Linked DNA regions of Caenorhabditis elegans. The protein of the gene in region 2 purifies or fractionates together with the protein of the main gene of each other region. This does not show direct contact. Each region holds a gene or a part of one and is shown on either strand. Other genes may lie near its edges.

Evidence for each region. The genes of interacting proteins can lie anywhere in the genome.
Region 1: the proteins of W03F8.4 (region 2) and dpf-6 fractionate together in Caenorhabditis elegans (co-fractionation; one large-scale study listed by BioGRID). This does not show direct contact.

The regions. Positions count from the first base shown.
Region 1 is NC_003281.10:8,036,380-8,040,135, forward strand, and holds the start of dpf-6 (Dipeptidyl peptidase family member 6), read left to right. Parts: upstream 1-1,861; 5' UTR 1,862-1,867; coding exon 1,868-2,105; intron 2,106-2,161; coding exon 2,162-2,256; intron 2,257-2,366; coding exon 2,367-2,734; intron 2,735-2,777; coding exon of another isoform or gene 2,778-2,791; coding exon 2,792-3,093; intron 3,094-3,150; coding exon 3,151-3,353; intron 3,354-3,485; coding exon 3,486-3,756. UniProt on the Caenorhabditis elegans protein: Removes N-terminal dipeptides sequentially from polypeptides. Essential for control of distal tip cell migration.
Region 2 is NC_003282.8:5,182,200-5,185,900, reverse strand, and holds W03F8.4 (EKC/KEOPS complex subunit TPRKB), read right to left. Parts: upstream 1,779-3,701; coding exon 1,680-1,778; intron 1,624-1,679; coding exon 1,561-1,623; intron 1,510-1,560; coding exon 1,387-1,509; intron 1,281-1,386; coding exon 1,014-1,280; 3' UTR 657-1,013; downstream 1-656. Other genes in the region: W03F8.6 (Activin_recp domain-containing protein), read left to right, coding at 4-135; lam-1 (Laminin subunit beta-1), read right to left, coding at 2,683-2,813, 2,889-3,027.

The DNA of each region.
Region 1 (3,756 bases), on a different chromosome or scaffold from region 2:
CTGTCTACAATATTCAAAAATCGGGAAGGATCGGAAAAAAAAGATCAGACGGTTCAAATTTTTATATGCAGATCAGAGTTTTCTCAAATCAACATTCATCGGTTTAACCCAATTCTTCACACTTTTTTTCAAATTACATCAATTCTAAAAAACGAATTTAACCAAGAAAAAACAGGTCTTAAAACTGAATTAAAAATTTCAATCAGATGTTTCAAAAGACGGTGTTCTTTAGACGGAAACTTTATTCATGTGAAGGTGGTCTGAGAGAACAGGAGAAAAGATAAGATCATCCAGTTTTCAGTTAGTGGTTTGACATTTTTTGATTTGATAAGAGATAATTTGATTAATTGGTAACTGGGTATTCCGTGAGAAAAGTAACGAAAAAAATCTTCAAATTTTTTGGAACATTGAGGAAATTTATAGATTAAAAAGATGATTCCGTTTTCTGTAATATGCCAACGTTTCGGTTTTAAAAAATTGTAGATTTTTTTAAACGCAAGCTTTTCAAAATTGGGGCACCCAATTATACACTCTACTAAAAAAATCATAATTTAAAAATTTAAATTCGTTAAAATTGGAAAATTCTATAAAAACACTACAAAAAATCGCCCCCAATCGACCAAAAGTAAACACTAATATTGACAAATAATAGGCTAAGCCAATAATAGTACGAATTGCATTTTTGGAATTTTTGGAGCAATTGATGCCTATAAATGACACGAGGTCAAATTAGCCTTTTAATTTTTGAAAGCTTTACTTTACAAACAACAAAATATTTTTATTTTTAAATGAAAAAAATAAAGTTTTCGTAGATCATAAGCATATATTTTGTTTTCTTAAATAACGATTCACTAAAAAATCTACCCACCATCATCTAATATTCTTGCACTGACTCAGTCGTTTGTTGAAATTTTGCGAAAATTTTTAGGCGAGGATATACTGTCGAAATGTCAAAAAGTTACAATTGAATTATTGTTTGAATTCCCGTCTAGGGCAAATTAGGAGTCTAATTATTAAATGTGTATTGAATAAGTTCTCAAGAAAATCCTAGGTTTCAAATTTTATTCTAATCTGGCACCACGTACCCTATCATTTCGGCTACTATATTACCATTTCTCAAGAAATTTGGATTCTCTCACAGCTGAATTGAACTCCGCTTTAGTCCTAAAACACAAAAAACACTTCATGAATAGTACAATTTCTTTGCTCCGATACAGTACAAAATGATAGTGTACATAAAGGGTCAAAAGAGGGTGAACAGGCCACTTCTTCCTTCAAAAGTGTGTGTTTATTGTGCGTGCTTTTCGTCGAAATGTGCTCCGTGAGCACATAAACGGACAATATGCTCTCACACATTCATTTTTGTCCGCTCTCGGGCTTCCGGCGCCACTTCATTTGGGTTCTGAAGAACTTGACCAGTCACTGATATTTTTTGATTTTCACACGCATCTCTTTTCGCCGACGTCTTCTCGTTCTCTCTTGTACATGTACAAGAGGCAGGACGGAAGTGATTCTCTCCGCCCAGAAACTTTTGGGGTTTTCTATAAAATTAACCGGTGATTGTATTTTTATTCAGGTGGTAATTAAATTTTTAGTTTCTATGTTTTTGTACCTATTGTGACCTTTTTTAATATAATTTTTGAATTAGAACAACTGATAAAAGTTTGATTTCTTTATGTTTTCCTTTTGATACAAAATAATCTATCAATTTATCACATTGATCATTTATTTTTAGAATTTTTAGAATCTATCTATTTTTCCACCACTTGTTAATTTGATTCCTCTTCTTTTTTTCGTACTTTTCTTTATGATTCCTTTCAAGGTAGCCTACAGATTTTCAAAAATCTTGTTTATTTTTCAGCTCCAAATGCTCTTTCTTCCAATTTTAATCTTAAATCTACTCATCATCACACATGCAATTGATATAATTCCTCGAGAAGTTTTGTTCCAAGATCCAAAATATTCATCAGTTTCATTGAGTCCTGACGCGAAACAAGTTGGATACGTGGCTCCTGATGAAAATGGAATCAGAAATGTATTCACGAGATGCTCATCGTGCTCATATTCAAGACAAGTCACTTTTGAGACTGAACATCCTATTTTGAGTAAGTAGGAATTGAACAAATATATTAGAACTTTTTTGATAAAAATGATATTTCAGATTACGTTTGGACCGCTATTCCAGATGTTATTCTGTTCACTCAAGATAATCATGGAGATGAGAATACTCGCATTTACAAGAAAAATATTTCTGCGGTGAGTCAATCAAAAAACATTTTCTAGAAATAAAGTTGAATCTTCTCAAAAAGTTCAAAAACGTTGTGGAGTTGAATTGTAACATAAAGACTAAGAATTTTCAATTTCAGACAGCCATCGCTGCTGACAAAACCCAACGAGTAGTAATTAGTGAGAAGCCGATGGTGAAAGCAATGATTTTATCAAACAACTTGATTTCGGAGACAGTTCTTATTGGAATGAATGATGAAAATCCAGCACTCCATAATATTTATGCATTCAATTGTCAAACTGATGAATTGAAGTTGGTACTTCAAAATAGAAGATTTTCAATATTTTTCTTTGATAATGATTTGAATGTTCGATTGGCAAGTGAAGAAGGACCAGATGGAGAAATGATTTATTATCGACCAAGAAGCAATGAAGGTGCTAGAACAACTGAACAAAATACTTGGGTGGAGTATTTGAGAATTCAGCATGATGATAAGGCAATCACTATGTAAGTTCAAGAAATACTATATTTATAGCAATTTCTTTACAAAATGTACAATTTCAGGCCCATCACATTCGATAAATCTAACAATTTTATGTACTGGATTATGGGAGACGGCAGTGATTTGGGAAATCTCGTCGTTTTTCCATTTGAAGATCCACAACAGAAAGAGATTCTTTACACTGCACAAAGAGCGCAAATTGGAAATGTTTTGATTCATCCAACTGACAAAACTCTATTGGCTGTAACTGAAGTTTATCATAAGCCAGAGCTTTTTGTGGCAAATGAGACATTTATGGAGGATCTTCAGTATTTGGTCAACATGAAACCTTCTGGATCTATGAATATTGTTAGCATGAGTATTGGTGAGTTTTTCTTTCTTGTTCAAGATTAACATTATATTTCCAATTTTCATTTTCCAGATATGTCAACCTGGTTGGTTACCTATTCCTCATCCGATGAGCCATATGACATTTACTTGTACAGAAGATGGAATAAGAAGGCTGAACTTTTCATGAGCACACGTCCAGAACTCAAGAAGTATACGTTGAACAAGCAAATTGGATTCGATTTCAGAGCAAGAGATGAAATGACCATTCAAGCTTATTTGTCACTTCCACCACAGGTAAATTCATTTGAAAAACAATTCCATAAATTCATAAGAACGTCTTACTTACGAGGCTTTCCATCGTGAGAATGGAACTCCAATAAAACACACATTTAGAAAAATCAATATTTAAAACAACTTTCATTGCAGGCTCCACTACTGAAATCATCACAAGTTCCAGATGGTGATCGTCCTTATGCAAACCTTGGAATGATTCCAGCAGTTCCACAGAAAATGATTGTTTTAGTTCATGGAGGACCAAAAGCTCGTGATCATTATGGATTCTCACCAATGAATGCGTGGTTGACAAACCGTGGATACTCAGTCCTTCAAGTCAATTTCCGTGGATCCACTGGATTTGGAAAAAGACTTACAAACGCTGGAAACGGAGAATGGGGAAGAAAAATGCACTTTGATATTC
Region 2 (3,701 bases):
CAGGAAGACGGTTGCATTGGCCCAGGAGACGAGAAGAATTGCTGCTGCAGTGACAATATGTGCAACTCGAGCAACGGTCTGATCTATCCAACAGCCGGAATTCTCATCATTCTCTCGCTTGTTTTCAGGCCCTAATTGATGAATATGATGACGTCACACGACTAACCTCATCTGTATATACGGGCTCGGCGCGATTATCGAACAAAATTTACGCATTTACTGTATTTGGAAATAAAAATCATGACATTTTTTAATTTGTTGCTTCAAATTTATTTAATTCACATCGAAAAATGTTTCTCTTTAATTGTGTGGGCAAAGTCGGAACAGCAATTCAAATATTTTTCACCATGTTTCCGTAATTTTAAATAATATATGTGGTCAGTAAACTAGAATGAATAAATGAAAATTGATAAATTATTCTCAGAAAAAGAGGAAAATGTGAACAAATTTGCGAAATCCCGGTTCCGACTTCACCCACACGTTGTTTTCTGGATTTTTTCCAGCAAAAAAATTTTGAAAAAACTTACAACTCTCTCCGATTGACCCGATTGATTTTATCCGTTGTTTCCTGAATTCTACAATTTTCAAATTATTTTAGTAGTTTTCAAGGTATACTCCTGAAGCAATTCAATCGAATTTCAAACAAATAAAATAATTTTTAACAGATGTGCATTTTATTACAACAGAAACTTAATGAAAGAAGAAAAAACAGAGAAAAGAAACTATACAGATTTTTTGGTATATGTTTTGATCCATAGTGGGTCTCGGATGGAAGGCAGTATTTGAGATGTTCGTGGCAGATTGATGGGAAGATTAGAACAGGGGGCACAGAGTTCCAGAGAATTCAGTGTTCAGGTGGGCATCGGTTCGTAGTGATGATGATGATGATAGGGATAAGCGAATTAGCGTAGAAATGAGGCATTAGTCAGAAAAAGAAAGAAAAACTAGATTGCGATTCGAAAGTGTTAGGGTAAAAATGGAAAAAGGAAAATGGAGAGAATTTCGAGAAAATGTTAAGAAACGAAATCCTTGGAAACCATTCTCGAAACGATGTGATCGGAGAGTCCTTCTTCGACAAATGCTGGATTTCCTACTTGATAAACCTTCTTGATCATGTTAACATTTGCGAATTTCGGTAGGCCTTCCATTAATGGCACAGGTGTTCCCTTGATTGCTTTCGCCAACTTTTTCATTGCTTTTCCGGAATCATCGTCGAAAATTGCGGCGATAATTGCAGTCGAGTGCTCGGCAATTCCGAAGGTCACTAGAGAATCGGTAATCTGAAATTAAAACGAATTTAAAATCCAGTGAGTTTGAAGAAATACTAGCAGAATTAAAATCTTTTAAATCATCACTTTTTTTCGAAATACTTTGAAATTATCTTACATTTCTACTCGGAGAAAGCGAATAGACAAGCTCCGCAGCTAGACTCCGACAACTCATCCGATTATGAGCCGATTGATGAACGGCCCGGTTGGCGGCGGCGAGGAGTACGAACGGTTCGAGCACCTAAATTTTTCCAATATTTTTTGTTGCAATTTTTTCTATCTAAACACTTACAAGTTCCGCACGAATTAAAGCTGCATCGATTTTTCCTTCCTTCAACTGTTGCGAGAGTTCTGCCTGCAAATATCAAATTTCATTATATTTTTTTTCAAAAAAAGAGTTGTAAATTTTACCGCATTTTTAACATCCTTGAATAGACAAACTCTGCATGTCTTCCGTTGTGTAAAATCGTACGGATCTGGTTGAAGCTCATAAAGATGCGAATGCTTCATCTGAAATTAAGTTTGTTGATTCGATGATTCAAAAAAATGTTCGGGCGTTTCAATATAACGTTTTTGAACGTAAAATGTATCAAAATGCCGCAATTTCAACACTACAGCCTGGTAAACATGTTATTGGCATGAAGTTTTGCAAAAAAGTTGGCAGAAAACAAGTGAAAACATCGTAATTTCGGACGGAAAAGTGAAAGTGTAAAGAGGCACGGAAAGTGCGCCAACGCAGGTGTACGAGTCGCGAAATGCGTCAGCTCTCGCTCTTTGCGCGTTTTCCGTTTTTGGCGGACATTCAAACAGAGATTTTAGATTAATTATCGGATCTTAACCGTTTTGAACTTTTTCTTGAGTTTTTATGACAAAATAAAAAAAACATAAATTGAAATTGATAGATTTATAATCCAGAATTTTTAAAATAGAAAGATAAAAACGCAAAAACAATTAAACTGTGTCTGAGATGCATAAATAGTTAAGCAAGGTGTGGTGATGGTGATTGGGGAAAAAAGCAAATATAAATTATTAGGAAAAAAGGGAGGGATTTGAACTGAAAAAGATTAAACAAATGGTGTAGAGTATTGGGTGATAAGGAAGAAAACAAACAAAAATCAATTTTCGTAATTGAAAGAAATATATTGGAAGCGAAAACTTGAAATTGAAAAATAATAATAAAGAGACAACAACCGTTTTCAAAAAGCGGGATGGAAGAAGGCGAAATTTCAAAATTAGAAAAATTGCTCGTAAAATATGATGTAAATATTGTCTATCCGAGTTTCACCGAGTTAATAATATACCACACTTTACGAGCAATTGTTGACTTTCATACAGTATTATTTGATTAAAGATGAAAGTCTGGCAGTTTTAGAGCTTCAATAGAATAAAAAAACTCCTAAAATTAAAGCATAATTTATCCACACGTGGCATGGAAGTCGGTCTTCTCATGAATGTCACGTGTCACTCGTTCCAGTCGGGAATTCAAATCAGCCAGAATCGTCTCGTAGTCGTCCAATCGCATTTCGGTTGAGTCCTTTGATAAATCTGAAAATTATTTGGTTTTTGTAAACTTGTAGTTTTTAAAGTTTTAAAGTTTTAGTTTTAAATTTTCAAACTCACTGTCAATATCATCGTTGTGTCTCTGAGCCTGATAGAGCAGCTTGGCAGCTCTTTCTCTTAGCTTTTCAGCTCTCTGTTGTGGAGCAACATTTCCTTCCATTCGTTTTTCGAGAAGCTCCGTGGCACGCTCAAGATCGGTCTAGAAATTTGAAAAAAAATACAATTTTGAAAAAAAAATTTGACTGTTTCAACATCAGCATTTAGCTTCACGTTTTTTAGGGATGATTGCTGTTAGACATATTAGGTCACCAAATAAGTTTCGGGTCAAAAATCATAACTTTGTTCGCTGCGTATCGATTTTTATGAAACTTTGGGAATTCATGTTATCAACAATGTTCTTTCATTTGACAATAGTCACAAAATTTTTTGACCACCCCAAGTGTCCTAACTCGGAGCCAATTTTTTCAGGCATTTTTCTGATCTCGCTTCTTTTCAGCTTTGAATTGAGGGTTGTGTGCGGATTTCGGTTTGTTTAAAATACATTATTAGAAAACAACAAAAGTTTGAAAAAAATCCGTCCAAAAAATTTTTTTTTGGATGGTCGTCAGAAAATCTTTTAAAAAATTTTTTGTCGAAAATTCTAGATTTTTCATACAAAATGATGTAACCAAGTGTAAACTATTTTTACACATACAAAACATATCAATTCGAAACACTAAAATGATAATAGAAAATAAAATTGTTTCAAACTAAAATGATTTTTATGCTTAAAAAGCTGACAAGAAGCGATATCAGAAAAATGACTGAAAAAATTGGCTCCGAGTTTGGGCACTTGGGTTGGTCAAAAAATCTTGTGACTATTGTCAACTGAAA